2 linked regions of the Elephas maximus indicus genome follow. The main gene of each other region encodes a partner of the protein of the gene in region 2 in a complex. Links are inferred from orthologs where the notes say so. Each region holds a gene or a part of one and is shown on either strand. Other genes may lie near its edges. The genes, in order: BAK1 and BNIP5.

Region 1 (15,851 bases), about 3.7 Mb from region 2:
CATACTGGCCCAACAGAACCACAGCCAGAGCTATCAGCACATTCCAGATGGGACCATTGCCTAAGTCCAGGGCTGCAACCTGCCAGGAGAGACAGGGTGGTGACAGAGGGGTTAGAGGGGTTGGCAGAGCATACAACCCCCCGCCCCCGCCCTGGGGACAGAGCAGGTCTGGGAGGGGCAGCTCCTGCAGCACATGTGGCCAGCCCTCAGGCACTCACCCAGCCGCCCCTCTGTGCAATCCACCGGGCGATGCAGTGCTTCAGCATGAAATCTGCCACGAAGCTGGTCACGTGGCCCAGGAAGCCAGTCAGGCCATGCTGGTAGACGTGCAAGGCCAGGCGATAGCCAAAGCCTAGGAGAGCCACCACGCGGCCCCAGTTGATGCCGCTCTCAAACAGGCTGTAGGTAAAAAAGCATCCCATATTGTCTGTTGAGGACTCCCAGGAGGCAGCAGGCTGTTGTCCCTCTTCAACCCCCTGTACCTCCCACCCCTCTCCCAACTGGAAAGCAAAATGGCTTAGCTGTGAATCCAGGCCACAGAGGCTGCCCCAGCCTGGCCTTGATTTGGAAAAAGCTTGGTTCTCTGTGAAAGGAGAAAGCTCAGAGGGCAGCTGAGCTGGATGCTGCCACCAGGGTGTGGCCCTGAAGTCTACAGGTGCAAAGTGGCATGGAGATGGCAGAGGGCAGAATGAGCAGATGGAGGCAGCAGGGAGATTACCTGTGGGTGTTGCTGCTGGCCTGGCAGCCCGAGGGACAGCCGAGAGAGAAGACAGAAGAGGAGGTTAGGACAGGTCCCAGAAACACAGTGGTGGGGGTGGGAGTGGGCCTCCAAGGACAGGGGCAGGACATTAGCACCAACTCTAAATCTATCACTTACTCCTAGCTTCACCCTCAGCTTCAAACCTGCATTGACATGAACCTCCCTCACTCAGATGGTAACAATAGCTAGCGATTCCTAACTGTGGACGGTGCTATAAGCATAATTTCCTCATTTTACAGATGAGAAGACTGAGGGCTAGGAAGTTTCACAAAACCAGTAAGCGGCAAAGCTGGAATCTGAACCTAGCTTTGGGCTCTCTAACCACTACACCAGATTGCCTCATAGATGTCATATTATACTAAATGGAAGCCATTCTTAGGGCCTGGTAGAGGTTAGCAACCTTACCATCTTCTGTGTGGAACATGGTTCCAGACTGGAAGGAGGGCTGTCTTACAGCTAGGCTGGGGAGCTGTGGGAACATCCCCACTCATGGCCTCTCTAAAGTTCTTGGTCTAACCAGTCAAGTCCTCAGTGTCAGAGCTCAAAAGATGAGGAGTCTGAGGCCCAGAGAGAGCAAGACAGGTAGCCAAGGCCAGTAGTGAGTTAACAGCAGATCCAGGACCGGAGACGGGTCTGCTGACACTGTTAGAGGAACCCATCACATGGGTAGGGACACAGCGTGTAGTGACAGGACAGCAGGGAGGCAGTGGCTGGAATGCATGGAGAGGGGGCCGCGCTACCTCGAGGCAATCTTGATGAAGTACTGGGAAGCGTTCTGTGGTGTTGGCTGCAGGTGCTGCAACATGGTCTGGAACTCCACATCGTAGCGCCGGTTGATATCATCCCCGATGATGGCAAGCTGCCGACCCACCTGCCCCATGACACTGGAGGGACGGGAGGCAGGTGGGTGAACAGACAAATGGGCACACAGCACACAGTAGGGCTGGCCTCACAGCAAAGCGGTTCTGCTCAAGACACCCTGGCCCTGTGCACCCCTCCTTGGAGGTCCCTGACAGAGTTCTCAGCACATGAAAGCTGGGCTCAGGGGCAATGAGCAGGTGTGGGCTAAAATAAAATGGCGCAAGGTCCCAGATGGGTGTGGGAACCCGAAATGAAAAAAGAGCAACAATGGGAGAAGGACAAGTCTCCCTAGGCCTCCCCAAGTCCAGAACTTACCCATTGACCCCGGGTGGGCCCCTCCTCCCTGATGTCCCTGTGGGCCCCGGGGTCACTGCTCACCTGTTAGGCTCCAGGGGCAAGGAGACCATCTCCGGGTCAGCGGGTGTGGCCGCCCCTTCGGCCTCCTGCTCCTGCTGATGGCGGTAAAAGACGTAACTGCGGAAAACATCCTCCGCGTCCCTGGCTACCTGCACCTCTGAGGATCAAAGCTGACAGTCAGGGAGGGAGAGCCAATCCCAGTACCCCACCCTTTGTGGGTTCTTCAAGGCTAGTGGTCCTCTCCTGGGAACAGAAATGTCCCTACTCCCACCCCTTAGTTAATAAAAAAAACCATTACCGTCAAGCCTATTCTGACTCATAGTGACCCTATAGGTCAGAGTAGAACTGCCCCATAGGATTTCCAAGGAGCAGATGGTAGATTTGAACTGCTGACTTTTTGGTTAGCAGAGGAGCTCTTAGCCACTGGCTCCACCAGGGCTCTCACCCCTTAGTTAACATCTAGTAAACATTTAGTGGGAAGTGTGGTGGTTAAGAGCTTGGCTGCTAACCAAAAGGCCGGCAGTTCAAATACACCCGCCGCTCCTTGGAAACCCTATGGCGCAGTTTCTACTCTGTCCTATAGGGTCACTATGAGTCAGAATCAACTCAATGACAATGTGTTTTTAAACATACAAAAAAAAAACCCTCTAATGCTTACTCTGCTGGGTACTGTCCAGACAGACACTTTTCATTTAACCCTCATAACAGCCCTTTGAAGTAGGTGATCCCCACTTTACAGATGGGGAAACTGAGACACGGGGCATGTAAGTAACTTGTACAAGATTACACAGCTAGAACAAGCAGGGGAGCCAGGCTATAATCACAGGCACTTGGGCTCCCGAGTATTTTGGTGTATATAAGGTACCCATACCTGTGGCTCCAGAAACATGAGAAACACATTTGAAACTGTGGCTTTGGGCCTAGAAAAGTCAAATAGGGAAATAGGGACAGAGCTGGGACCTAGACTTGTGTGGTAGACCCTGAGCTCCAGGCTTCCCTGACCACCCCCTTGGAAGAGGGAGGGAGGGCACCCATCTTACTTCTTCCCCCAAAGTCACCACAATTGCTCTCCCTGTTTAGCTGACCTGACTCGATGATAAGCCAATTTACTTCCTTCTTTCTCCTCCTACAAGGATACAACATCCACGCCTCATTCTTTCCTCCTTCCTCAGCCCCTGATTCCACCCCTCTGCCCCAGGATGGCGCAGTGCCCATCTTCCCATTCACTCCCTGGCCTCTCTCAGCCTCTGGAGCCTCCCCCGCCAAGACTCCTCCCCTTCCCAGGGCTTAAACTTGACTGCAGCTCCAGCTTCTGAGCTCAACAGGCCACCTGCATTGGGCAGGGAGATACTTTTGGCCTTTCTCCAAGGTGGGGAAACTGAGGCTGGAGAGCCTGCCCACAAGTCCTGGCCCTGTCCACTTCCACTCTCTCCATGCACACAGACAGCCCTGTGGTTATGTGATGAGTGATGGAGGGGGCAGGAAGATCATTACCAGAAGTGGAGGGTGGAGTAGAGTCTCCACAGTCCTGCCCGGGAGGACCCGGGCCTTGCCCAGATGCCATTTTTCAGGTTCTAGTGGAGGACAGCGTCAGCCTGTGGGGACGGGTGAGAAAAAGCAGAGATAGGGATGAGCAAGGAGTACTAACTGCGGATTCCAGAGAGGTTCCCAGGCCACACAGCAGGGAGGGCTCCCCCACTCCTGGAACAACCCCCCAGCCCTTGCTCTAGCCACTTCTTATCCCACCACCGAGGGTCCCTGTGGAGTCTGCTGGGCAAAAGCAGAATTTATCAAGCATTTTAACTGGTAACCCTGAATAGATGGTGCGGTGAGAGAGGTGAGGCAGCCAAAGACATGCCGAGTGTGTGGTCAAGATTCACGCCCAGCTCTCTGCACCCTGGTGTCCTCAATGGGCACCCAGGGCCTCTGGGGAGGGTGTGGCTGCTGCAGCGGCCTCGTGGAGCTCAGTCCCATTTCACCTCAAGTGAGACTAGTTCTTCCAGCTGCTCCTGGGACCTCCTGTACCCTACCCAGCAACGCTTACCACAAGCTTGCCACCTCTAGCCAATGACCCATGAAGTTCTTCTCGGAGGCCCTACTTCCCCCTGGCCAGTCAGAACACACCTGTTTTCCAACTCAGGCTATCTAGCCCCAAACATTTCCTGAGTGCCTACTATATACTCCTACCACTTATGAGCACTTGCCTGGTATTGGGCGTTGAAAACTCACATTAACCCAGTGAGGTAAGTATCATTGTACCCATTTCACAGGTGGGAGAAGTGAAGCATGGGGTGGTTAGTGCCACATAGCTAGTCAAGGAAACTCAGGTTGGTTCTCTGAATCTCTGTGAGTTCATAAACTCAACACTCATTGGAGATTTATTTTCCAGTCTGTGGACCTGAGAGGGTGTCCATTTTCCCTTTACCTCCTGCCTGTACCCTCCCAACTCCTGCCTTGGAGTGAGCTGAAGAAGCAGGGCGTTCCTCACAGCCCCCACCCTGCCTCACACCACGCACCCACACCACACAGCTGCCCTCCTGCCCCAATTTCCCCTTTGCCCAGTCCTGGTCACAGGGCTGCTCTAGCGATCTGCTCTGTGAAGCCTGTTTGTGAAGAAAGAGCATTTCCTGGACTGAGCTTTCACTTTCAGTTTGCACCCCCTTCCAGGACCCCATTTTCCCTGAAGATGCCTCCATCACCCTGGTGAGAATGACCCATCCTCCTGGCCCTGAGGAGGGCTGCTCCACCCAGAGCCAAGCACAGCAGCCCCCTCCTCAGGGAGGGCCTCCGTACCTTCACCTTCCTCCCTCTCAGGCCTGGGGCCATCTTTTCCCAGGAGCCCTCCAAGAAGGGAATGGGCAAAGGTTGATCACCTGTGCACTCAGTTCTCCACCCCTCCACTTTCTCAGGGACACACCTAAGGCAGACCCCCCTCTCCTATGCCCGGGGGCACCAGGCCTCCTTAAAGCAGGCCTTTGCCTGGCACAACCCCATCCGGGCAGCTTCTTACTGGATAAGATGGCTTCCCTCCCCTCTGGTCCCTGAAACCTGGCATCCCAAGACCACAGGACAGGAGGATGCTGACTGCACCTCCAACCCCCTCTATCACCACCCCAGGGGTTCACTACCAGGAGCAGGCGGGTCCTCAGGGTCAGCAGTCTGCATCAACCTGGGCCTACCCCCGTCCCCCATTCCAAGTGGCCCAACTTCCTGGTAAGGGGAGTCCACTCTACCCCCACCTCCTGGGCTTGCTGCTACTGACTCTGGCCGAGTGTTCCCCAGTGGAGATGCCTGATCAGGCCTCAGACCCGGTCTAGGGCTCCTGGATGGCAGGAACCGCCCTGAAAGTTCTCTCCGGCTCTTGACCTTGGCTCTGACCTCCACCCCCACCCTCCAGACTGCTAAGGGTCCCAGTTCTCTGGCATCCGGTTTTCCAGCACCCCAGGGCCACAGCAAGACGGGAAGCCATCTAAGGGTCAGCAGCACGGAGCCCCAGCACAGCCAAACTCTCAGCGGAGTTTGGTGGAGCCGTGGAGGCAAGCCCTGAAGGCCTCCCCTTCCCCATCCACCTCCTCAAAAGCTCCCTGCCTCACCCTGGGGCTGGGGCTGGGGCTGGGGCTGGGGCTGGGGCTGGGGCTGGGGCTGCGATGAGGGCGTTGGAGGGGCAGTACCTCCCCAGCTTACCTGCGCGGAGCCTGGCCTAGACTGGGGATGGCTCAGCAGGGACGAGGCCTGGGATCCCAAGGGGCCAGCGGCTGCTCTCTGGGGCAGGATGCCTGCCCAGGCCCGGCTTCCAGGAATGGAAGTCAGTGCATTCCCGGCGTCTGGATGCCGCCTCAGCTTGTCCCGTGGCCGAAGGACCCGCGCAGAGCTGCAGATCATAGAGGTGCGGGGCCGCGCTTGCTCCAATCAGCTCCCTCTAGAGGAAGTTCCTCTGTGGCCGCCGGATGCGACACCCGTTCTCAGCCTGGCTCCCAGGCCAAGGGCAGCTCCCGCCCCGCCCCAGATCCAGCCAGGATGGAGCGGCTCCCCTCTCCCACTGCTTTGTCTACCCCTGACTCCCTGGCTTTGTCTTGGTCTTTTACCCCTTCCATCAATCAACACCAATAAAAAAGCCAGGATGGCGAAGTTTCTTAAGCACCCACCCGTGTGCCATGCACTTTAGCAACCTCATTGTCTCATCACATCTTCTCAACATCCCTTTCGGGTACGGTCAGTGAACTCTGCCCATTTTAAAGATGAACAAACTGAGGCTCAGCTGGTATATGGTACTCCCCCAAGGTCACTGAGCTGGGTTTATAATCAGGTCTGTAGGTGCCGCGGGGAATAATAATAATAAATGAGATTCAACCGATGCGCCAGCACCTTAGATACAAAACCCTGACGATCACAGGCAGGTAAACAGAGATGAAAACATGGTGAGGTCTGTGCTGCCCTCTGGGCATGCGTGAGCTGGGTGCTAAGGGGGCAGAGAAGAGGAAGGACGCATACTGTCTGGCATCAGGAAATGGTTCTCAGGGACAGGGCAAGCCCAGAAAGCTGGCTGGGTGGAGGTATGGGTAGAGTCCTCGACAGTGCCCTGCCCCATTCTGGGGATCCTAGTCCCTCCCAGCCTCTCCTGTTCACTCCCACCAGGCCTCCTGGGGCTCTCACCAAGATCCCCTCCCCCAAGTCTTCATCCCCCCCAGCTTCCTCAGACCCCCTGTCTCATCACCTGCCTGTCCCCTCTGCCCCTAACTACTCTCCCACCCACCCCATGCCCTACCAAAGTCACCCTCCCCACCCCACCCCCCACCTGACCTTTGCCTTCTAGAACTCCTGGAAGTTTCTAACTGGAAGTTTTCATTTGAAAACTCCTCCTGTTCTTAAGCAGTTGGTCCTGGGGTGACCACTAGGGCTCCTCCCTCTGAGTCAGGGTCCCCTTCAGGATGGAGGCCCCAGCTCCAACCCACCGACCCCGAATTTTGGGCCACTCCTCCATGTTCCGCTTTTTCCGTAACCTGATGAGGAGCAAGAGCAGCCCAAAGCGCTCTAACAAGGGACTAGCAAGAGGTGGGACGTGTCCCTCTCAAGAGCAGGATGCCGTCCACATGATGGATCGCCAGGGCCAAGAAGAGAGCAAGATCGAGCCACCCTCCATGCTGCCTGATGCCCTCATGGTAGCCACTCCCAAGGGCTCCCTGCACCTGCTACTGCATGATCCCTCATGCCTGGGGGTGGGGGATATGTGGCCCCAGACCCTCACCCCCATGGAGATCCTGCAGGTGCTGGCCCAGGGCAAAGAGGTGAAGTCGGTCCTGCCCAGAGGAAGTCAGGAGGTGCTGGGCAGCCTGTCTGAGAAGGAGGAGGAGGAAGAGAAGAACGAGGCAGCAAGGCAGGCCTCTGGGGATACAGGGGCCTCGGGCAGGTAAGGGGCTGGGGCTGTGGGTGGTGGCGATGGGGGAACCCTGGTGGGGAAAGGGCCTAGGATGTAAGATGGTGGAAGGATATGGGCCTGAGATAGGGGACCTAAGTTGAGCAGAGTCCAGGAACGGTAGTCCTTAGATGAGTAAAGGGCTGAACAGGGGCTGGGTATGGGGGCTGGGCGGTTAGGTGGTGGGGGAAGGAGCCAGGGATTAAAGGTAGGGCCAAGGTATGGAAGCATCAAGTGAGGGGAAGAGCCTGGAATTGGGGGGTTTGGGTGGGGGAGGAGGCAAAGACAAGGGTTCCCCCACAAGTGAGGGGGATGGGGGCACCATGAATGAAAGAGGGAGGGGCCAGGTCCCCTCAGCTCTGAGGAGCTGATGTGCCAGGGTGGTTGGGGCTCCCACTCCTGCTCCACCCTCCTTTTCCAAGGCCCACTCAACTCTGCCCTCCCTCCCCACCCTCTCTCCTATTTCCCAACCCCATGTGAAGAAGCAGAGACATACCTCCCCACACCCTCCTTACATGACTTTTGGGAAGGGATAGCCCCCCCTATGACAAAGACCCCAGAGGGCAGAACAGGGGGCTGCTGGGAGAGGGAGAACGGAAGGGGCTGAGTAGGGTGTGTCAGAGAGCCTTGGGGGAGGTTGGGGCACCCCCTGCCATATTTCTGGGCCCTACTCACCTCCCCCACCTGACTGTGGTTTGGAATCAGGATTGCTCAGGCTCTGGAGGTGGAGCAAGAATGCCTGCAGAGGGCCAAGACCTTTACCAGGGAGGAAGAGAAAGAGTATCTGCTTGACGGTGAGTGTGGCCCTCTTCCTCTAGGACTTCTCAGGGGTGTAGGGCCCGGCAGGACACAGGACACAGTCTGAGGAGACACTGGAGCCAGACTGCCTGGGTTTGAATCCCAACTACCTTGCCAAACTGTGTGATAATGGCAAGTTTCTCAACCTCTCTGTCTCAGCCTCCTCATTTATAAAATGGTCATATAATAGTACCTATCTCGGAGGGCAGAAACCCTGGTGGCGTAGTGCCGAAAGGTTGGCAGTTTGAATCTACCAGGTGTTCCTTGGAAACTCTATAGGGCAATTCTACTCTGTTCTATAGGGTGGCTATGAGTTGGAATCGAATTGGTTTTGGTTTTATCTCAGGGTAATTGCAAAGATTAAATGAGATGTTATTTGTAAAGTGCCTAGAATTGTGCCTGACACATAATTGGTGTTTGCTAAAGAAAGCAAAGAAACCCCACTCCCAGCTCAGGCCTCCCACATCCCTACCCTCCTGGGCCACCCCCTACAGCCATCAGCCTGGCAGTGACTGCTGTTCCTTCACAGGAGACCTCAAGCTGGCCTCCTCAAAGGCAGGGATGACTCCCTGGAACCACCTCCTCAGCTTGTACAAGCAGCTCCAGAAATCAGCCATGGCCAAGGTCTGTGGGACCAGCCTGGGGTGGTAGGGGTGGGAGTGAGGCCCCAATGGGTCCCCTCCCCCATGCCCAAATCTGGCTTGGGCCCAGGGACAGCAGTCCCTTTTCTTAACCCTTTGAGAGCTGTTTCCTCCCACTTCCTGTTGAATCTGGGGAGGGAGGCTGCAAGTGTGGGCCCTGGCCCTCCTCACTTACTCAGAGACCTGGCATCCTTCCAGTTTCCTCTCAAGGTCGGCTTGCCCCCAGAGAAGGATAAAGGGGAGGAAGAGGAAGTGGAGGAAGAGGACAGCTTATTTAACCTCTGTGTCCCAGGCATTGTCACCCTCCAATCACCACTGCATAAGACTTTTAGGTCAACGGATACAGTGGGTAAGTGTGGTGCCCCCTCCTCCCCTCCCAACCTGCCCCTTGGCCCAGGGAGCCCCCCGTTGGCCAGAGGCTCAGAAGTGCAATACCAGTTCTGACCACCAGGTGGTATCAGAGGACCTAAGATGATCGCCCCAGACCGGCGATCCGTGTGTTACCTCGGTGTGGCTGGGCTGGGTCTCGCCGGAAGGAGAAAGGGCCTCCTCCCTCCTGGCTGAGAGGCAGTGATGGGGGTTGTGATTGAGGCTGAGGCTCTTGGAGCGCCACCCTTTCCTCAGCCTAGATCGGGTAGCCCATTGCCTTGTAGCTACTTTGGAAAGCCACCTCCATTCCTGGTTTTCCCATCATGCATTGCTGTGTCCCCCCCCCCCCGCCCCCGCAGCAGCCTAGACATGGGGAGCAGTTGGTTTAGTGGTAATAACATAATACGATAAAATTATTGTTGGCACTTACGTAACTGTTACTATGAGCCAGACCCTATTCTAAGTACTTTTCACATGATGCCACATTGCAACTTCATGAGGTAGGTCCTATCATTATCTCCACTTCACAGTGAGGAAACTAAGGAGCAGAGAGCTTAAATAACTTCTCCAAAGTCACACAGCTAGTATGTAGCAGAGCTGGGACTTGAACCAGGCAGTTTGGGCTCTAGATCTATGCTTTTGAGTTTGTGGCTGGAGGGAGGGGGGCAGATGTCTGCCCTCCTACATGTCTTCAGGCTTTGCAGGAGGGAATCTGCGGAAAGTGAGCTTCCTGGGGAAGGCAGGGTGGTGGGGAGATGGTATCTGGCTGGTTCCAGGTAATGGAAGAAGAAAGAGCTACAGACCAGAGATCGAACAGGGGTGGGATGAGATTTGGAGAACAGGAACCCCCTTCTCTTCCTTGGGTCCCCAGCAGGTTGCTCCCCTCTTCTCCTGCCTCCACCCCTCCCCGCCCACCTCTCCGACTTGACTCGCAGGTTTCGTGGAGTCAGAGTTGAAGAAGCTTCTGGCCGTGCAACGGGAGTCCCGCCTCTGGAAGATGGGCAGCAAAGAGGGCCGGGAGCTGCTGGCCCAGCCAGAGATCACCCTGGAGGAGGCGGGCGTTGTGGATGGCCAGGTATGTCTAGCCCATCCTGACCTCCAGCTCTCTGCTTGCGGGCACCAGAGATAGTGGGGTTGGAGGCCTCTCATCTTCACAGGGCCTTGCCCCTGGCATCAGTCTACACTTTGGGGAGATATAACCTCTGCTTGGTGATGGTGTTTCTGAGATTAGGACCCTGGTCCCCTGCACTTGAGTGTGTGTGTGTGGCACACCCACTCACACACTTTTCCATCTATCTTTTTGTCTCTCACTGACCCAGATGTCCATTTTTAAGTCTTAGCTTTGCCTCACTTGCTGTGTGGGCTTGGACAAGTCCCTTCACCTCTCTGGGCCTCAGTTTCCTCATCTGTACAGTGAGGGGATTTTTCCAGACAGGCTGTAGGGCTTTTCTGTGCATCTGTAATTCATATAATGTTGCTGTTTTTCCATTCTCTGTCCCACTCCCACGCAGTTCCACAAACACACATAGATGCACTGGGTGGGTTTGAGGACCGCCGTCCTGCTCACCCTCCCCGACATCAGCCTTGGGGCTTAAAGATTAAGCTTCTCTGAGTGCACATTGATGGCTCTGTTGTTAGAAAACCTGTCTGTGCCTTTTTTGAGCTCAGTTCCATTTCATTCATCAGTTCAGTCTTTCATTCAGGATTTGCCCCTCTTGGTCCATGTAGCTGAGAAAAGGCAAGAGCATAGGGTTCAGAGACCAAGTTCTTTGGTCAGAGTGCCTGTTCCGCCTGACTTGCTCTGTGACTTTGAATATAGGCCTTGGTTACTCCACCTGCAAGGATCTGGGAGATGAAGAGTATGTAGCCATAGCTGTAAGGACACTCCTGGTGCCAGGGATTACGATCTTCTTACTCTCACTCCTTGGGGGTAATGGATACAGAAAGGCATCCTACTCGTTGTCCTAACCCTGCCCTCACGCCTGTCTCACAGGAGCCCCCTCTACCGTGCTGAACAAGCTGCGTCACCTCACCCACAACCGCACAGAGCAATAGCTCTGACAGGGCCTTCTCACTGTTCCCTTTTCAGGATTCTGATTCTTTCAGTCTGCTCTCATCCCTCCCTGCTCCTCCAGAACCACTTTCTAAGCCAGCCTGCCTGCTGGCGGTGGGAACCTAACCCAGTCCCAGTGGTCACAGCTCTGGGGTAGCGTGTGCAGTATTGGGGGGCCTAGGGAGTTCCTAAGGTCCTTGGGTGGTACCAAGTGATTTGCAATCAGCTGCTAACCTCAAGATTTGTGGTTCAGACCCACTCAGTGGCACTGCGGAAGAAAGGTCTGGTGACCAGCTTCCGAAAAGATTACAGCCAAGGAAACCCTATGGAGCAGTTCTATTCTGTAACACATGGGGTCACCATGAGCTGGAATCGATTTGACAGCAATGGGTTTGGCTTTTTTTTTTTTTTCAGGGAGTCCCTGGGTAGTGGCAAGTGAGGGCCCAGCCCAGTCCTCACTTTGGAGACAGAGCTGCCTCAGGAATACCTCTCTCGCTTGGGTGTTTCAAGGGTCCTGGCCTCATCATCCCCTCCCCCCACTCTCTCTGTATCTGCCCTCAGGGACATCAAGCTGAGGGGGAAGGAAGTCCCTCCCCACCTTTGGGGAATGCTGGGGACCTGGGGGAGGGGCACTGAGGCAGCTGAAGCACCACCCTAAACTGGCGGGGAGGGCACCAAGCCCCCTTGGCATGGTGTCCAGGACAGCGGTGAAGGAAGGGAGGGGTTGGCTGTGGTACCTGACTCCTGGAACTTCCAAGGAGTTCCCGTAAGTTGGAGGGAGAAAGGTCCCTCCATGAAGTAGTGGGGGAGGGAGCTGGGTCAGCTGTGGGGATGTGGGGAAGGTCTAGAAAAGGTGGTTCTGGGAACTTGTCACTTGGGAGTAGATGGGAAGGTTATGGGGTGCAGAGCAGGGCCGGGAGGGAGCCCGAAAAAGCTGAGGCATCTTCCTTCACCCCTTCTGCCCCCAGCACCTGCTGCTCGAGGAGATGGACGAGATGGGGAACTGGCCTCCAGAGTGAAGCGGGCACTGGCCCTGAGTCTGCCCTGCCTGGGATGTGTCCCCCTCTTCTTAGGGCATATCCAAGGAGCCCCTAGGGCCAAGCGGTCCTGGAATGACCAGTGTCCTTGTGTCTGCAGGGTGGGCTGGCCCAGCACTGCCCCACCATTGGATCCAGGCCTGCAGTGTTGGTAATAAAAACCCAGTTTGCTTTTGGTGGCTCTTCTGTCTGTCTTTGGACCCCACCACTTCATCCTCAGCTTCATCCAAGCCCAGTCTGTCCAGGATCTCAGTCTAATCCCCAGTCTGTACCCTGGGGGCTGCCAGGGTGTGGCTGCAGAGCCCTGGTCTCTGGTGGGATCTCTGCAGCAGGGCCCTGGAGCCAGGAGGACGGGAGGTAGGGTGGGCCCAACATGGGAGTGGGAGACAGCCCACCTCCAGATTGCCAGGGAGGCCCTGCTGCCCACAGTCCTGCGCTTGCTGGGAGGAGCTTCCCTGACATCCCTCCCTCCTCGAGTTCCCCAAGTTCCCAGGCCATGTTTGTGGCCTCACCAGGAGGATCCGGGAATTCTCTGGCAGGAAGTTCCTGCCCAGCTAGCTAAGGGACAAAGCCAGGAAAGCAGCGGCCCTGGGACCCTGGGGACCGCCTCAGCTATTTAGGGCCCCTGACTCAGGAGGCCTGGGCTGGGAGAACAGACGACAGGTCCCTGGGGTTGATGCAGGAGGGGCGGGTCCCAGGCTGGAGCAACCATCCTTTGCAACCCCATGGTTGGGGGGGGTAGTCCTGGTTTAGACACCAGGGGGCACTGTTTGTCAGGAGGCTCTGCTGACCTCCCTGTAAACCTGTTGCTTTGGAGGATGGCCAATTCCTCCCCTCTGCCTGGGTGCAGGCCAAGCTTCTAAGCATATATATGAAAGAGAGCAGCACTCCTGTTTATGGTAGCTTGTCTGACGTTCCCCACTGACCCCTACCACGTCCTTCATTACTGTGTCCAATCTGAGGACTGCTGCAGAGCTGAAGTTCAATGTCAGAACATGGCTGCCATTCTTAATAATTACTAGGATTGATAGCAACAAATGTTTGCTGGAGAGATGAGCCCATAGCCACATGCTTGGGTTGAGGTGGGGAGCTGTACACACCTGGCCCCAGCCCAGCCCAGCCCAGTGAAGCTGGAAGTCCCCTCCACCCCTCAATCCGGCTGGAGGGTGGCAATCAGAAGGGGGAGGGCTCAGAGAGGCTATCATCTCTTAAATGGGGCTGAGGGCTTTCTCCTGGGCTTCTTGGCCAGAGTCAATGGAGTCCTTGACTCAGGTTCTGAGCTAGGGGCTGGTGGAAAGACCCATCTGGACTGTCCCCCTGAGTCAGCTGGGAGGTGGCCTTGTGACCAGATGACTCACCTGTGCCCTAATTGTCCTACTAACCATTTCCTCCAAGAGTGCAGGCTGTTGTGTGTGTGGGCGGGGGGGTGTTAATTTTTATTGTGTTTTAAGTGAAAGTTTATAAATCAAGTCAGTCTCTCATACAAAAATTTATATACACCTTGCTTTTTTAAATATATTCCTAATTGCTCTCCCCCTAATGAGACAGCACACTCCTTCCCTCCACTCTCTCTCCTTGTGTGTATTCGGGCAGCTTTGGCCCCCTCTGCCCTCTCATCTCCCCTCCAGCCAGGAGATGCCCACATAGTCTAATGTGTCTACTTGATCCAAGAAGTTCATTCCTCACCAGTATCATCTTCTATCCCACAGTCTAGTCCAACCCCAAAGAGTTGGCTTTGGGAATGGTTCCTGTCTTGGGCTAACAGAAGGCCTGGGGACCACGACCTCCGGGGTCCTTCCAGTCTCAGTCAGACCATTAATGGGGGGGGTTGAAGGGTGGCCTGTGGGCTCCGTGGGTACACCTGGCCCCTGCCCCAGCCCACATGGACATAGCACTCACTCTGGCCCCACCCCCTGTTTATGGGCCCCATGGAGAGAACACCTCTCCTTCTGATCAGGCCTAGGTTGGAGAGGGAATCCCAGGCCCCGATCCCCCCAGTACAGAGCTTCTGCCTATCCTGTACCATTGCCCCCTGGGTCAGGCTTGCCTCCTGGGCCTATCTGGGCACAGGAAGGCATAACACAGGATTGAGGTAGGCTGGGCCCCTGCTGGCAGCTCAGGATCCTTGACTTCTTTTGAGAATAAAGTGGTCACTCAAGCCACCTCAGCTTCTGGGCTGTGGCCACCCCATTTCAGGGACAGGAGCATCTCAATCTCAGAGCCCACAGGGTGGGGGCTGCTGGGTAGTGAGCAGAGCAGAAACTTTGGTTTTACTACCTGGGACCCAGGCTGGTCCCTCCCTCCTCTGCTCCTCATTTTTCCTTTCTGTCAGTGAGGAACAGGCTATCTCCAGTCCACTCCCAAGATTCCTGTGACTACAGAGGAGAGTGCCTCTGAGACCAGGAAGTGTGGCAGCTGGTCCTGTAGCTGTAGCAGGAGGGGGATCTGCGTGCACCACAGCCATGAGGGCTTGTTCCTGGCCTCACAGGGCTCCTGGGCTGGTTTCTGTGGATGGGCCTGGCCAGTCACTCATGGGTGGGATAGGCAGGGGCGAGGTGGCCCAAGGACCTGCTGTGGGGTCTAAAATGCCCCCAAACAATCAATCAGGTCTTAGGGTGAGGCCTTCATCCTGGAGAGACAACTGGTTTGTGGATCGGCAGGCCAGGGGGGTTGGGGGGGAGTGGTGGGGATCATGTACCGTTTACCAGTGACTGAAGCTGATGGTGGGAGGCCCCGAGAGTGAGTGTAGAGGGTGGGTCTTGGGCTCAAGGCCAACATGGAGACAGGCCAGGCATGTCCGATGGGCCTTGAGGGAACACTGCAGACACATCTGTGGGTCAGACCTGGGAACTGGTTGTGTTTTAAAGGTGCCGTCCTCTCCTGGATGTACAGACAGCCAGGGTAGGGCTGCCAAGAACAGCTGTGCAGGCTGAAGGGCAAGAAAGATCTGAAACCCAGTCCACTGGGCTCGGCTCACCAGCCATGCTCCCTTGCCAGTGTTGTGTCCACCTTGAGGGGGAGCCTTTTTCTAACTTGTCCAAAAGGGTCTATTGGGCTGGCAGTGGCCCTGGTCAGGCCCATGGAAGTTAAGTTGGGTCTTTATGTGAGGACTTGCCAAGTCTCTGTCACTGTCTGGGATTCTCTCTTCTCCTTTATCTATTGTCTCTCTCTATTGGTACCTGTGTGTTTCTGTCTCTCTCTCTCTCCCTGTGCTTCTCTGTGTGTGTGTGTGTGTCTGTCTGTCTGTCTTTTTCTCACTGTATCCCTGGTAGGACAGAGGTGAGAAAAGCAGTCCTGAGGTCCATCCTGAGGGTATTTTGGGGACTCACTGGTGGCTGAAAGGAAGGCAGTAGGTGGGGCCATCTGGGAGCTGGGAGTAGGATAGGTGGACCGAGGGAAATCTGGGCACATCAAAGCTGGAGGCCGTGGGATGCCCCTCCCTGGAGGCCCCTGGCCAGGAACCCCAGGGGGATGCTGCTTGGGTCCCCAACTGGGGTCACTGGTAGCCAGCTGGGGTGAGAGGGAAGGTAAAACTGTTATTTTCCAGCTGGGAAATGAGATG
Region 2 (15,714 bases):
AATGAAGTCAAGTCCAGAAACGAGGACTCCAGCACCCCAGCAGCCATCTCCTTTCCCCAGCACCTGCCCCAGGTCCCCACATTATGGACCATGTGAAGGGTAGGGCTTTCCTCTTATCCACCCTCTGTTTTCCCCTTTTCTCCTAGGACCATCCTTCTCAAACAGGAGCTCTTCACAACAGCTGCCATTTACTGAGCACTATTCACGTCACCAAGGAGCCCTGGTGGCACAGTGGTTAAGCACTCAGCTGCTAACCAAAAGGTTGGAGGTTCGAACCCACCAGCTGCTCCTCAGGAGAAAAGATGTGGCAGTTTACTTCTGTACAGATTACAGCCTTGAAAATCCTGTGGGGCAGTTCTACCCTGTCCTATAGGGACAACTATGAGGTGGAATCAACTCAACAATGGGTTTGGTTTTTGGTTTTATTTGTGTGACTACTGCCATGAGACCACAAATATTATCTCCATTTTACCAATGGGGGGAAAAAATTGGACTCAAAGAGGGAAATCACCAGCCCTGGGTCACACAGCTAGCGCCTGGTGGAGCTGGAGTTTAATCTCAAGTTCTCAGCCACTGTGTTGTTCGCCATGTAGAAATTTCACAGTGGCATTGTTCCCAAGAGTTCCCCCACCTCCATGTCCCCTCTGTTGAGAGGTTTGAGGAACAAACTTAAAGTAGCCTAGCCCTTTGGTGGCAGGAGTCGGGGGATGCGGGCACATGCTTACCCTTGCGAGCTGGGCCCAGGTCAAACTCCTCAGGGTGTGAGGCAGCTTCCTGATCTTGAACCCCCTTGGTTTCCTCAGTGACATGTTTCTTGTGACCAGAGGCTTTCTTACGGCTGGGCTTCTTGTCCTGGGATTTCTTTCTAACAGCTGGCTGCCCAGGAGCCACAGGGGACTCCACAGGCTGGGAGAGGCTCTCCTTCCTCTTTGGCCTTCTGCTGGCCTTGTCTTTGGGCTCCTCAGGGCTTGTCCTCAAGAAGAAGTTGAACAGGACTTTCAGCAGCCCCGGCTGGGCCCGCCTATGGGCCTTGTCCTTCTTGGTGTCCTGTGGTGAGCTCTGCTCACTGCGGATAGGCTTGTTGGTCTCCTCCAGACTGAGGGCAGTGGCCATGGTGCCCTGAGCCTCTGCAGGCTGAGCTAGGCTCTGGAAACATCCAGCCCCATCACTAGATGTCCGGCGAAGCTCCTTCTTGGAGTAGGTGCTGTGCAGAGAAAGACACGGGCAGTCCCACGACTCTGAGTCCTTCCTGGGGTCCTGCGACCGCTCCAGAGACCTGGTTCTCCTCTTTGGCAAAGGCTTCCTTAGATCCTGAGAATTCTCCATTGGGCTGCAACCAAAACAAACAGCATCTTTAGAAGAGGCCTATCAGAAACTGCTGTGGTGGGCTAATTATGCTGCCGTGGGCCAGTTCACCTTCACCCATTAAGGAGAGTCATATTAACCTCTCACACTGACACTTTTCCAAAGCTGTTGTCTCATTTAAATTCCTCAGCAACCCTGGGAGGGAAGGTGTATCATTATGCCCATTTTCCAGAAGAGGAAACTGAGGTCATGGCCCAGATCTCACAGCCAGTCAACAGCAGAGTCAGGACCGGAACCAGCACTTGTGGGTGTCCACATAAGGACAACCTTAGCAGAACCGAGAAAATGGGCCAGGGGAGGAGGCAGACAAGGATTTACCTGGGTTTTAACGTTCCCTAAAAGGAACACCTGGGTTACAATGAAAACGCTTAGCAATACACAACAGTACCTCATGTGGAAACTGCCCACCTCAGAGGCTGCCTTATGGTTGTGCTTCCAAAACACAGTACAGGGTGGAACAAGGGGAAGAAATCACAAAGGGAAAGATTTTTCCCTGTTTCACAGGCACCGCTGTGCGCCCAGAATTATGCTCAGTGCTAGTGCCAGTACCAGCTGCCATCGAGTCAGTTCTCACTCATGGTGACCCCACGTGTGTTAGAGTAGAACTGTGCTCTATAGGGTTTTCAATGGCTGGTGTTTCCGAAGGAGATCCCCAGGCCTTCTGAGGTGCCTCTGGGTGAACTTGAACTGCCCACCTTTTGGTTAGCAGCCAAGCACGTTAACTCTTTGCACCATCCAGGGACTCCTTGCTCAGTGCTAGGGATAGAATAACCAATAAGACGCAGCATGTGCCCTCAAAGAGAATATCCTGGTCTCCATTACCCCACAGTCTGCTCTCTTTAGCAGTACATGGTCTTGAGAGAGGATACATTTAGGTTGAAGGTCTGTTTGATTTTAAGATCAAAGTAAACTGAGCCAGAAAGAAATATTGACTGTGCAGTGCCAGGAATCTCTGCTTTTCCTGTACGTTCCTGTGGTCAGGGCAAATTGGGTGGGGTTGGCAGATAAACTGTTCAACAACAAAACCATAATACCAGCCAAACACGCAGGACCCTTTTGCTCAGCTCTGCTGCTCTTCTTGTACTAACTTGGCTGGAGGGAGCCCATCACAGGGAGGGCCAGAGCGTCTGTACCCAGCTGATGGGAAGAGAGGCGCAGTCATCTTTTAAGGAGCTGTCATTGCTATGGAAACCGTTTTCACAATTGCTGATGGCCACAGTGTCCTCCTACCACTTTCGAAGGACACACTGCTACTTCCAATCAAAACATCAATATAATTCCACAAGGCCATGTTTTTCCTTCTTGAAGGAGCCCTAGTGGCCCAGTGGTTAAGGGCTCGGCTGCTAACCCAAAGGTCAGTGGTTTGAACTCACCCAGTGGATCTGTGGGAGAAAGACGTGACAGTCAGCTTTTGCAAAGATTTATAGCCTTGGAAACCCTGCGTGCAGTTCTACTCTGTCCTGTGGGTCGCTATGAGTCGGAATCGACCTGACAGCGATGGGTTTAGTTTAGTATTGTTTTTTAAGATTTTTCAAAAATATCTGCCTTGGTTTGGCCACCCCCTCCCTGGGACAACCAGTGCCCGGAGCCCAGAGGGAAGTGAGAGAGAGCCGAACAGCAGCTGCCACAGCCCCAGAGGCAGGGAGAGGGTGGGAGGGCTGAGCTCAGCCCAGTTCTCCTGCTACCTCTCCGACCACTCCTCCTCTGTAATGTTCTAAAGGTTCTGTCTTCAAACTCTTGTGTCCCCCGTTTTGGTCTCTAGCCCCAGGGATTGAGCCAAAGAGGGAAACCCCCTCCACCCCCAAGAATAAAACACTCTGTGGAACTTCTCTGTGGAGGGTGTGTTTTGCGTGCCCCAAAGCAATTGTTTTAATATTACCCACTTGCCATTGAGTTGACTTACTCATGGCAACCCCACATGTGTCAGAGTAGAACTGTGCTCCACAGGGTTTTCAATGGCTGATTTTTTTAGAAATAGATCACCAGACCTCTCTTTTGAGGTGCCTCTGAGTGGACTCAAACCTCCAGTCTTTTGGTTAGCAGCCAAACAACATTAACCATTTGGATCACCCAGGGACTCCGTTTTAATATTACTCCCCCAACTTCGTATTCTACATGGGCTGAAATTAAATCTTTCTAGACTTCCTGATTGTAAAATTCTGCTTATCTAGAATTCATCAAAGCAGGATTTCCTTTTCCTTCCTCTTTTTTCTTGTTTTGCGCCCCTGCTTTGCCCAATGCTCAGTCTGACCATCGGGGAATCCCACCCTGCCCAGGACGTGCTTCCAGACCAGCAACCCTGTGACAGCAGCAGACACCCATTGGGTTACTGGAAACCCAGCTGCTCTTATAAACTTGTTTGTTGCCTTGACAGAGGGTGAATTTCAGAGCAAAGTCCAAATCAGCTCATAAACACCCAACTAATCAGCAGATCACATGACTTCTGATAAGACATGACATATACCAGTGACGTGTTTAAAAACAACAATAAACAAAAGAAAGCACGCAAAACTGACTTCGGGTTACTATGGAGCAGGAAGCTCGGCCGTTTTTCCCAAGCCTACCACCTTTTTTGGTTTATTTTCTAAATTGTACACTGATATCATGTATCCACTCATCTCTAATTTGCTCACGCAGCTGCTTCACTCTGTGACTGCTCTTGCAGTGTGTCACGTAGAGATTTTACCATTTCCCTTCCCCACACCTGTAACCATCACAAAACAGGTATTTAACAAATACCCTACTGCTATACACCCATACCCGCCGATCCCAGAGGGAGTGGGTGTGGGCACACACGTGTGGACCCACACATCAGAACCACAGGCACACGTGTCACTGAGACACACTCGTGTATGCCAGTTGTTATTATCATTGTGGTCATTAGGTGCTGTCAAATTGATTTTCGACTCCTAGCAACCCCATGTGACAGAGTAGAACTGCCCCATAGAATTTCCTAGGCTATAATCACTACAGGAGCAGGCCGACAGATCTTTCTCCCACAGAGCTACTGGGTGAGTTCAAACCGCCAAACGGTTAGCAGCCAAGGACTTAACTATTACACGACTGGCGCTCCTTCATGGGCTCATAACACCTTGTATTTTTCCAATCCCAATTGTAAGGGAAGAATTGTCAATGAGGTTGCTAAGGTGATACAAATGGTTAACATAGTCAGCTGCTAACTGAAAGGTTGCAGGTTTGAGTCCACCCAGAGGCACCTCAGAAGAAAGGCCGGGCCATCTACTTCCAAAAAATCAGCCACTGAAAACCCTATGCAGCACAGTTCTACTCTGGCACATATGGGTCACCATGTGTTGGAATCTACTGAACAGTAACTGGGAAAAAAAATTACCAATGTAACTGTTTGCCACCTGCCCTCCGCAACAAAGGACCCACCTGCTGTGTCCATGGCATCTAGGAGACTCTCAGTGTTTATGGAGGGAATGAGCTATACGCAGACATAAAACCAGCTCACTTTCCGCTGTGCCACACTGCACCCAGAGAGCCCTCTCATCTATATTATCCCATGTAATCTTTGCCCAGATCTTTGAATCAGGCTAGCTGTGGGAGTATTGAGGCTCTGATATTAAGAGATTGCCCAAGGCCCTATAGCTAGGAAGTTGAAAGCTGAGACTTGAATCCACTCCTCTTGATTCTAAGTCCCATCTTCTCTCTCTTATACCAACTGGCCTCCATAAATACAGGCACACACACATGCATGGACTTACACCAAGGATTTACAGGTGAGCGAAGTTGCTAAGGTCACACCAACAGAAATAACCACATCCACATGCATGCCTTTCATAACTGATACACACAGAGTCAGATGTCCACATTTGCCCAGATATAGACACCAACGTCCAGAGGCAATGATTGTATACACAACCTGGGGTGCACAGACCAGGGAAGGAAACGAGTCAGTCAACTGGAGGGCCAAGGACTGCACTGTAAGCTCATGGCTTCTCATTGGTATCGTTCACACTCACACCCAGGCTGTCATGCCAGTCCAAGCTCAAAGACTTCAACCTGGGATCCTGAGAAGGTGTGGCTTCCAGTGCAGCTCTCAAGGACACATCTGTGGTGAGGGCAATGGAGTTTGCTCTCCACACCTCTCCACATACAGTGTGGAGGTTCCTCGGAGAAGAGTCTCAACCTTCATTTGCAGGACTGGATGGAAGAGGTGTGGACAAGACAAAGTGACCATCTCTTCCCTCCTTAACACCTGGGTCCACTCTTCGCCCACGCCTGCATCCCAGGCATTTTTGTTTTTGCCACCGAGTCGACTCTGACTCATAGGACAGAGTGAAACTGCCCCATAGGGTTTCCTAGGCTGTAATTTTATGGGAGATGCTACCCATTCGAGGTATTTCTTCTCCTCTGTGGATTACCTGTTAGATTCCTAGATTTGGAAGAGACTTGAGAAGTCTCTAGCCCCACCTTCTAGAGTACATTGTTATTGTTGCGTACTGTCAAATTGATTCCGACTTATAGCGACCCTATATGACAGAGTAGAACGTCCCATTGGGTTTCCTTAGCTGTAGAATTTATAGAAGCAGATCACCAGGTCTTTTCTCCCATGGAGTCGCTGATGGGTTCAAACAACTGACCTTTTGGCTAGCAGTCGAACAGTTAATCACTGCGCTAGCAGGCCTCCTTTTTCTATAATATAAACCAAAACCAATCCAGTTGCTGTCAAGTCGATTCCGACTCATAGTGACCCTATAGGACAGAGTAGAACTGCCCCATAGGGTTCCCAAGAAATCTTTACAGCAACAGACAGCCACATCTTTCTCTGATGGAGCAGCTGGTGGGTTTAAACCGTTGAGCTTTTGCTTAGCAGCTGAGCTTTTTAACCTCTGCACCACCAGGGCTCCTTCTATAGTATCCAAAAGCAAATCAGTTGCAGTCAAGTCGATTCCGACTCATATCGACCCTACAGGACAGAGTAGAACTGCCCCATAGGAATTCCAAGGAGCGGCTGGTGGATCCAAACTGCTGACCTTTCAGTTAGCAGCTGAACCCTTAACCACTGCACCACCAGAGCTCCTCTTCTATAGTATTAGAAAAAAAAAAAAACACAAACCCGTTGTCATCGAGTAGATTCTGACTCATAGCGACCCTATAGGACAAAGTGGAACTGCCCCATAGAGTTTCTAAGGAGCATCCGGCGGATTTCAACTGCTGCCCTTTTGGTTAGCAGCTATAGCACTTAACCATTACACCACTAGAGTACCCTCTTTCTACAGTATAGGAATTCTTTATGCCACATTCCTGGCAGGTAGTCTTGTAACCTCTGTTTGATCACTTCCTGCAATGGGAATTTACCACCTTTCAAGGTCAAACTATCCACTACTAGCCAGCATGGATTTTAAGAAAAGTCCACCTTACACTGAGCTAGAATCAACCAGCGGCAGTCTTCACACACCTGAGGAGGGGTCACGTCACCCCTTTGAGTGCTCTCTGATAAGGCGGAACATCCCCAATTCTCCAGATCTCTTGGTGGTTCCTCAGATCACACTGTCTCTAGGCCCATTATGAGCCTGGGCACCATCTCTAGATACCCCCAGCTGATCCTTATCCAGGGCCTGACCACAGCAGAGCCCAGGGGTGTCTGCACCCTATGCCTCCGTTAACGCACCTCAGATCACACAAGTCAAGTGAATAACCACATCACAGGTGGAGAGCACGAGCTCCACCTGGGCTGGCCCGCACCTCAGTGGAAAGCAGTGGGATTTGGCCATCTGCCTATTCCTTATTATCACCACCACACACGTATCACCCATTATCAGTGTTCCAAACGGTACAGATTTGTATCTTTTGGGGGAGCCTTCAAAACCCAAAGGATGAAGTCCTTGGTGGTGGAACTCCAGGCACGGGGATACAGCAGTGGGCAGATCAGGAGTGGGGGGCAGTGGAGCCGTCATCCACAAAGCTGGAGAACTCCAAAAATGACTACCGCTCCCCTTCCATCCAACGCCTCAAATGTGTGCCCCAGAGGTGCCCCCACCACACCCCATACCTCATTCCCTCTATCACGTCCTCTATCCAAGACCTCAAGGCAACTGCATATAAAAGCGCCAAAGCCCCCATCAGAGCTGCAGGCCACCAGAGTTCTTTCCATAAGACCCCCCCTCCTTGGACTAACTTCTAAAAAACTTAAAATCATAGAACTTTAATCCAGGTGCAGGCATAGACAATAATACCTCCCTGTACTATGTAGCTTTACATACACTCTGCAGCTTGACTTACACATCCTGCTGGTAGGCCACGATGCCCCGTTCTATAGATGAGGAAACTTAGCCTCAGGGAATTTAAGGGCTTTGCTCAGGGCTGTTGGCTAGCAAGCAGCAGGTTTGGGACTTGAGTTCAGAGCTTAGAATTCCAAATTAGTTTAGAGCTTTTCACAAGAGACTTGGTTGAGGCCACTTAATGGATCCCTACTCTTTCTAGAGATGAGGAAACCGAGGCCCAGAGAGGCCCCAGCAAACTAGAAAGCAGAATTGAGACTTGACTCAGGGTCTGACTCTTGGTTCTACCCCCCTTTCAGGACCCCAAAAATACCTACCCAACTTCTCCAGCCCCCAAAGGAGAGAATATTGTTCACCAACCTTGAACCACGAAAGTCCCTCCTGTTGCAGACCGGGGTCACGGAGTCAGGGGGCTCTGCGTCTGTCACCACCCTCAGCAGCTGGGCGCCTCTCCCTGTCGGCTGGAGGGTGTATGGGATAAGGTGTCAGGTTCTGCTCTCCAAGGGAGAAGATGCTGCTATTGTTGTTGCCAACGTTCAGAATGGCTCAGAAGATGCTTTTGGTCATATATATCCTGTCTACCAGTTGCTGAGCTCACAGGCAGCCAATCCCGGGGCTGGAGCGCAGGCCGCCTCCTGCACCTGCTATGCCAGACCCAACAGCAGCTGCTTCCCGCTCCTCCAATGACAGGAGGCTTAGCTCAGTTCCCCTGGAAAAAATAGTTTCACTTGATAACTTCCTTACTGCACCCAAGTCCAAGAAGCCAACCACTCATAGAACAACCTCAGGTCTGGCTGGGGATGGAAGGCTGGTCTATGGACTTGTAAACAAGCCTTTATGGGAAACAAAGATACAGGAAAGGAGGAGAACCGTCACTCCTGTTCTGCAGGCATTTTATCACCTCCACCACCTCCCTCGGTTCTCTCCCAAGACCAGCAGGGAGGGAAGGACCTAGAAAGGGAGGTCATCAACGGAATACACATATTCCTCAACCTGGAGACAAAGTCAGAAGGAAGAGCTGAGAATGGGCATGTTTTCCAAATCCTGCTGCTACTAGGCAGGGTCACCGTGAATCTTGAAAGAACATTCTAAGAAATCTAAGATTTTCACTTTCTATAGTGTCTGCATTTTTCTTTATAGAGAGCGTATCATTTTTATAATCAGGAAAAAAAAAAAGCTAGTTCTATTTAAACTGAAGCAAAAAAAAAAAAAAAGGTTTTAAGTCCCACCTTAATTAATTGACATGGGGAAATAACGCAAAGTAAATAGTGAAAGCACTAAGCTTTGGCGCCTCCCAGATCTGAAGCCATCTGTCAGCTGCTTGACCCTGGCGAGGGGACACAATCTCTCTGAGCTTGTTTCCGCACTTATAAAACGAGCGTTTTTTGAATGCACTTCAGAGAGTGATTGTGAGGACTGAATGGGATGATACTTACCAAGAAAAGAAGAAAATGTATTGAGTGCCTACTATGTGCCAGGCATTTTTCTAAGATGCTTCTTTGTATTAGCAATGCCTGGCACCTAATAAATCCTTGGTAAAGGGCCACTATTTTATTTTTGGTAGCGAAGTTATTAATGCTTCCTTCATTCTGTCAACAAACAGGTGCTGGGCTCTGTGCAAATGCTATCTCAGAGCTGAATTTAGAGAATTCATGATCCTAAGAGATGGCCCAGGCTTCAAAAAAGGGTTAAATAAATTTCCATATTGTATTTGACTAACCACCTCCCTCATGCCCTCTGCACAATGTACATGCTCTCTCTTATTCAGAGGTGAATAAGCCAAGCCTGGGCCTCATGGAACCCATAGTGTAGCTGGGAAGACAGGCACACACAGAGATAATCATAAACCCAGGTGGAAGGGCAGGAGCACAGAGCCAAATGGGGTATTATACATGTACCTGTCCTGTGACCCAGCAATATGTACACTTTCAGGTTCCCATCCATACTAAAACCCAAACCCATTGCTAAGGAGTCGATTTCGACTCATAACAACCCTATCGGACACAGTAGAACTGCCCCCGTAGGGTTTCCCAGGCTGTAAATCGTTACAGAAGCAGACTGCCACATCTTTCTCCTGTGGACCCACTGATGGGTTCAAACCACCAACCTTTCGGTTAGCAGCCTAGCACTTTAACCACTGTGCCACCAGGTCTCCTCTGGGTTCCCACAGGAGTCCCTAAAACCGTTAAGGCACTTGGCTGCTAATTGAGTGGCTAGAGGTTCAAGCCCACCCAAGTTGCCTTGGACGAAAGGCCGAGCAATCTACTTCTAAAAAATCGAACATTAAAAACTGTGTGAAGCACAGTAATATTCTGACACACACGGTGTTGCCACGCAAGTCAACTTGACAACCACTGGTAAAGATTCTCACAGAAGGTAGAACCGTCATGGGGCTATCATGCGCACTCTACAACTTCTCTAATTAGGATGCCCTGTTTTTTTTTTTTTTTTTTTTTTGTCCTTAGTGCCCATCAAAGGCCAAGCTTTGGGCCAGGGATCTGTGGACAGCCACTAGCAGCTGCCTGTCCTGGTGGCCAGGGCCAGCCACGTAACGTGTGAGGTCCAGTGTAAAATGAACATACAGGGCTCCTTGTTCAAAAAGTACTACGAATTTCAAGATGGCAGCATGAGAGCATTAAATCAAGCACAGCTCTCCTGAGCACTGGCATCTGTGTGACTGCACAAGTCGACGCCCAGGAAGGCAGCCCCGATGGGGACAGACCCCAACCAAATGCTGTGAGAAAAGATGGCAGAGGAAAAGAGAGAGGGAGACAGAGAATATTTTTTGAACATTTTATTCAAAGACAACGTACAGAAAAGTGTACAACTCATAAGTATACTGCCCGATGAGTTTTCACAAAGGTGACCAGCACCCAGATTAAGAAAGAGAACATTACCAGCACCCTAGAATTCCCTGTCACACCCTTTTCCAGTTAGTGACCCCCCAAAGGGAAACACTATCTTGGCTTCTGACAGCTTCAATTAGATTTGTCTGTTTTTTATTTGTTTTGTTTTAAATTTGATTGTGGTAAAATATATGTAACAAAAAATTTACCGTTTTAATCATTTTTAAGTGTACAATTCTGCGACAGCAATTACATACACCATGTTGTGTTACCATCACTGTCATCCATTTCCAAAAGCTTTTCATCACCCCAAACAGAAACTCAGAACTCCTTCAGCAATAACTCCCATTCCTTCTTCCCCCTAGCCCCTTGTAACCACGAATCTACTAACTTTTTGTCACTCTGCATTTTCCTCTTGTAGATATTTCCTGTAAGCGAAACCAATCAATATTTGACCTTTTGTACCTGACTCACTTCACTCAGCATAATGTTTTCAAGGTTCACCCATGTCATAGCATGTATCAGGACTTCATTTTTCTTTATGGCTAAATACTATCCCATTATAAAAGATGCCACGTTTTGTGGATCCATGCATGGCTGACAAACACTAGGGTCATTTTCACCATTGGCTATTGTGAATAATACTGCTACGAAGCTGATGTACAAGTCGTTTTGCCTGTTCTTGATCTTCATATGAATGTGAGTCAAACTGCATGCTTTCTTTAATGCCTGGCTTTTTCCACGCTCCTCCATGTTTGTGAGATTCAGCCACACTGTGGTGCAGCTGTAGGTCCTCAGACCGACAACACCCAGTGTCAGAACAACCTGACGCGCATGCAGAGCCATCAGAACCCTGATACATTGCTGAAAGGAGTGGAAGATCATACACTGCTTTAGAAATCCGTGTGCCAATCAATCTCTACTAATGAACAGACACCTGCCCTATGGCCCAGCCATTCCACCCCTAGGCAGACGCACAACAGAAATGCTTACACAGGTTCCCCCCCAAAAAAACACATTTACGAGAGTGTTCATATCAACTCTATGTTAAAACAAAAATCATATTAAGCCAACAATAGAAATAGATCAACGTTTATTTAGTATATGATTTACAAATCAGGGTAACATTCAACTAGGGAGTCAGAAATGTTCCAAAGATTAAAGAACATCCAAAGATTCTTATACCCCATATCATCGACACTGCCATGGAAACAGGGCCAGAACAGTGTTGATATAATAACAAGTTACCCTTAAGCACAGCTTCTAGTCAGGCCTTAGAAGTTCTATTTCTGGAAATGGACTGTATGTAAATGATTCTTCAAAAGAGCCCAATGCCTAAGACAAAATGGTCTTTACTAAGGTACTTAGTAGGTGATTTTTGACTTAAAGGTGACTTTAGGAAACCAATTTTCTCCAGGCTCAAGGTTCGAAAGAAGATCTCAGAGCAATGGACTGGGAGGGTCACTCCAATTCCATGGAATTGAAATCTGGATTTCAGGAGAATTAAAAATGTTTCTCAACTAGTTGTGATAGACAAAAACTCGAAACTACTCAAATACTCATCAACAATAAAAGGACTAAATAAGTAGTGGTATAATTCACCAAACCCTGGTGGTGCAGTGGTGAAGACCTCAGCTGCTAACCAAAAGGTTAGCAATTCGAATCCACCTGTCACTCCTTGGAAACCCTATGGGGCAATTGTACTCTGCCCTACAGGGTTGCTATGATTCAGAATTCATTCGATGGCAATAGGTTTGGGTTCTGTTTTTTTTTTTTTTTCTGGACATATTCATGAGGAGCCCTGGTGGCACAGTGGCTAAAGCGCTCAGCTGCTAATCAAAAGGTCAGAGGTTCTAACCCACCAGCCGCTCAGTGTAAACTTTCACTTAAAGCACAATAAAAATTAAAAAAGAAAGATTTACAGCCTAGGAAACTCTATGGGGTGGTCCTACTCTCTCCTATGGGGCCACTATGAGTTGGAATCAACTCGATGGCAATGGGTATATTCACACAAAACGGTGAGAGATTTTTTTTTTTTTTTCTGGGAGTATATATGTTTGTTCAGAAAGGCTATGCACCCCCTTGCATGTCCTGGGTATGCAACAAGGGAACACAAAAGATACACTTTTGTCTTGAGAGAAAATGAAAAATCAAACCAGTTGCCTCATCCAGTCAACTTCAATTCATGGCAACCCTTGTGTGTCAGAGCAAAATTGTGCTCCATACAGTTTTTGATGGCTGATTTTTCAAAAGTAGATCACCATGTGAAATGTGGCGTCTGGGGTCTTAAATGCTAACAAGTGGCCATCTAAGACACATCAATTGGTCTCAACCCACCTGGAGCAAAGGAGAATGAAGAACACCAAGGTCACACGACAACTATGAGCCCAAAAGACAGAAAGAGCCACATGAACCAGAGACTTACATCATCCTGAGACCAGAAGAACTAGATGGTGTACAGCCACAACTGATGACTACCCTCATAGGGAGCACAAGAGAGAACCCCTGAGGGAGCAGGAGATGAGTGGGATGCAGACCCCAAATTCTCGTAAAAAGACCAGACTTAATGGTCTGACTGAGACTGGAGGAATCCCGGCGGTCGTGGTCCCCAAACCTTCTGTTGGCCCAGGACAGGAACCATTCCCAAAGACAACTCATCAGACATGAAAGGGACTGGACAGTGGGTAGGAGAGAGATGCTGATGAAGAGTGAGCTAATTATATCAGGTGGACACTTGAGACTGTGTTGGCATCTCCTGTCTGGAGGGGGGATGGGAGGATAGAGAGAGTGGGAAGCTGGCAAAGATGTCATGAAAGGAGAGACTGGAAGGGCTGACTCATTGGGGGAGAGCAAGTGGGAGTACAGAGTAAGGTGTATATAAACTTATATGTGACAGTCGGACTTGATTTGTAAACGTTCACTTGAAGCTCAATAAAAGTTAATTAAAAAAAAAAAAAAGTAGATCACCAGACCTTTCTTTTGAGGTGCCTCTTGGGTGGACTCAAACCTCCGACCTTCCGGTTAGCAACAGAGAACTTAACAGTTTGCACCACCCAGGGACTCCAAGTGAAAATGAAGCGGTCTCAAATTAAAAGGGCTGGTAGAGGAGCCTCAGGAATTGTTGCTGAGGTGGTTCTGAGAGCATATTTTTTAGTGGAATTTTCACAAGGGACACTCAAACCTTAGAGAGCATGGAACTCAGCTTCCCAGAATCTGCCCTCATCCCAGCAAAAGGGTTTACATTATGAAAATGTATCACCGGCCTTTGGTGATTCCAGGGGCAAAGAGCAGGCTTGACGGGTGAACACGCTCTTTCTTCCAGGGCCACACCCTCTGTCTGGAATCGAGGGCATGTTCCCATTCAAGACCCAGCTCCCACTTTGTGTCTGGGCCTCCAGCCCACTGGGCTTCCCCAGAGAGGTGTCTTCTTCCCCCTCCTCTGTGAGAAGTACCTAAAAGTCTGTGGCGCTGCCCTTTTCCATGCCAGGTCAGGACCAAGACCAAAGTCCACTGGTAAGAAGGGAGTCTCAGAATATTCTTTCAGTTGGTATATAAAATAACAAAATGTATATCTTGTGCATAAAGTGCTCAACAAATTTCCATTCCTGTTCACTCTTCCCTGAGAAGTCAGTAACTTTTCTTGCCCCTCCAGTGACTCCCAGTATCTTCTTCCCTCCCTAAGTTATTCCTGGGTTCCCCTGCTAGGGCAACTTGGAGTGGCCATCATGATGGAGTGGAAAAGCCATGGCTTTGGCATTGGACAGAGCTGCACTACAAGCCCAGCTCTTCAATCCCACGTGCACAAACTTGAGCAAGGTTCTTATGGTCTACAGTATAATTACTGCTAATAGAATAACAACAACAGTTGTCCTCAAATGGATTCAGACTAATGGCAACGCCACGTGTATCAGAGTAGAACTGCACTCCACAGGATTTTCAATGGCTGATTTTTTAGAAGCAGAACTCTAGGACTTTCTTCCAAGGCACCTCTGGATGGACTCAAACTACCAACCTTTCAGTAAGCAGCTAGTCTGTTAGCTTTTTTTTACCATGCAGGGACTCTGACATCAATAACAACTATTTATTGAATGTTTATTATATGTCAGGCCCTACATACAAAGCCTTTACATATATTATTTTTATCCCCACAATAATACTTATAAAATATATATCATTATTTCACAGATTGGGAAACTGAGGCTCAAAATGATGAAATGTCCTCTACACCAACAAAGAGAACTTTCAAAAGGAAATCACGAAATCAATACCATTTACAACAGCCCCCAAGAAGATAAAGTGCTTGGGAATAAATCTAACCAGGGACGTAAAAGACCTGCACAAAGAAAACTACAAAACACTACTGCAAGAAACCAAGAGAGACCTACATAAGTGGAAAAACATACCACGCTCATAGATAGGAAGACTCAACATTGTGAAAATGTCAATACTACCCAAAGTAATCTACAGATACAATGCAATCCTGATCCAAATTTCAACAGCATTCTTTAACAAGATGGAGAAAAAAATCACCAACTTTGTACGGAAAGGGACCAAAACCCACTGCCATCGAGTCAATTCCAACTCATAGCGACACTATAGGACAGAGTAGAACTGCCCCATAGAGTTTCCAAGGAGTGCCTGGTGGGTTCGAACTGCTGACCTTTTGGTTAGCAGCCATAGCACTTAACTACCTCACCACCAGGGTTTCCATGGAAAGGGAAGAGGCCCAAAATAAGTAAAGTATTACTGAAGAAGAAGGACAAAGTGGGAGGCCTCACACTACCTGATTTTAGAACCTATTATATAGCCACAGTAGTCAAAAACAGCCTGGTACTAGTACAACAACAGATACATAGAGCAATGGAACAGAATTAAGAATCCAGAGATAAATCCATCCATCTATGAGCAGTTGATGTTTGACAAAGTCCCAAAGTCCATTAAAAGGGGAAAAGACAGTCTCTTTAAGAAATGGAGCTGGCATAACTGGATGTCCACCTGCAAAAAAAAGAAACAAGATTCATACCACACACCACATACAAAAACTAACTCAAAATGCATCAAAGACCTAAATATAAAATCTAAAATGATAAAGAACATGGAAGAAAAAATAGGGATAATGCTAGACGTCCTAATGCAAGGTATAAGTAGTATACAAACCATAACTAACAGTGTACAAACAACAGAAGAGAAACTAGATAACTGGAAGCTCCTAAAAATTAGAACTCTCACGCTCTCAAAAGACTTCACCAAAAGAGTAA

Evidence for each region.
Region 1: the proteins of BNIP5 (region 2) and BAK1 are in contact, whole or in part, in a crystal structure (PDB 8IGC), measured with the Homo sapiens proteins. The link is inferred for Elephas maximus indicus from reciprocal best matches to the Homo sapiens genes BNIP5 and BAK1. Residues at the interface, in NP_001010903.3 of Homo sapiens: Ile246, Ile247, Gln248, Met249, Ile250, Val251, Leu253, Leu254, Lys255, Arg256, Val257, Gly258, Asp259, Gln260, Trp261, Glu262, Glu264, Gln265, Ser266; in NP_001179.1 of Homo sapiens: Leu78, Ile81, Gly82, Ile85, Tyr89, Glu92, Phe93, Met96, His99, Leu100, Tyr110, Lys113, Ile114, Ser117, Leu118, Ser121, Asn124, Trp125, Gly126, Arg127, Val129, Ala130, Phe134, Ala180, Leu183.

The regions. Positions count from the first base shown.
Region 1 is NC_064819.1:96,357,482-96,373,332, forward strand, and holds the start of BAK1 (bcl-2 homologous antagonist/killer), read right to left. Parts: upstream 5,916-15,851; 5' UTR 5,663-5,915; intron 3,574-5,662; 5' UTR 3,543-3,573; coding exon 3,473-3,542; intron 2,136-3,472; coding exon 2,000-2,135; intron 1,645-1,999; coding exon 1,501-1,644; intron 400-1,500; coding exon 219-399; intron 80-218; coding exon 1-79. Other genes in the region: gametogenetin-binding protein 1-like, read left to right, coding at 6,907-7,385, 8,097-8,185, 8,719-8,813, 9,029-9,179, 10,135-10,274, 12,221-12,271. UniProt on the Homo sapiens protein: Plays a role in the mitochondrial apoptotic process. Upon arrival of cell death signals, promotes mitochondrial outer membrane (MOM) permeabilization by oligomerizing to form pores within the MOM.
Region 2 is NC_064819.1:100,032,258-100,047,971, forward strand, and holds the start of BNIP5 (protein BNIP5), read right to left. Parts: upstream 8,241-15,714; 5' UTR 7,971-8,240; intron 7,935-7,970; exon of another isoform or gene 7,928-7,934; intron 1,331-7,927; 5' UTR 1,327-1,330; coding exon 726-1,326; intron 1-725.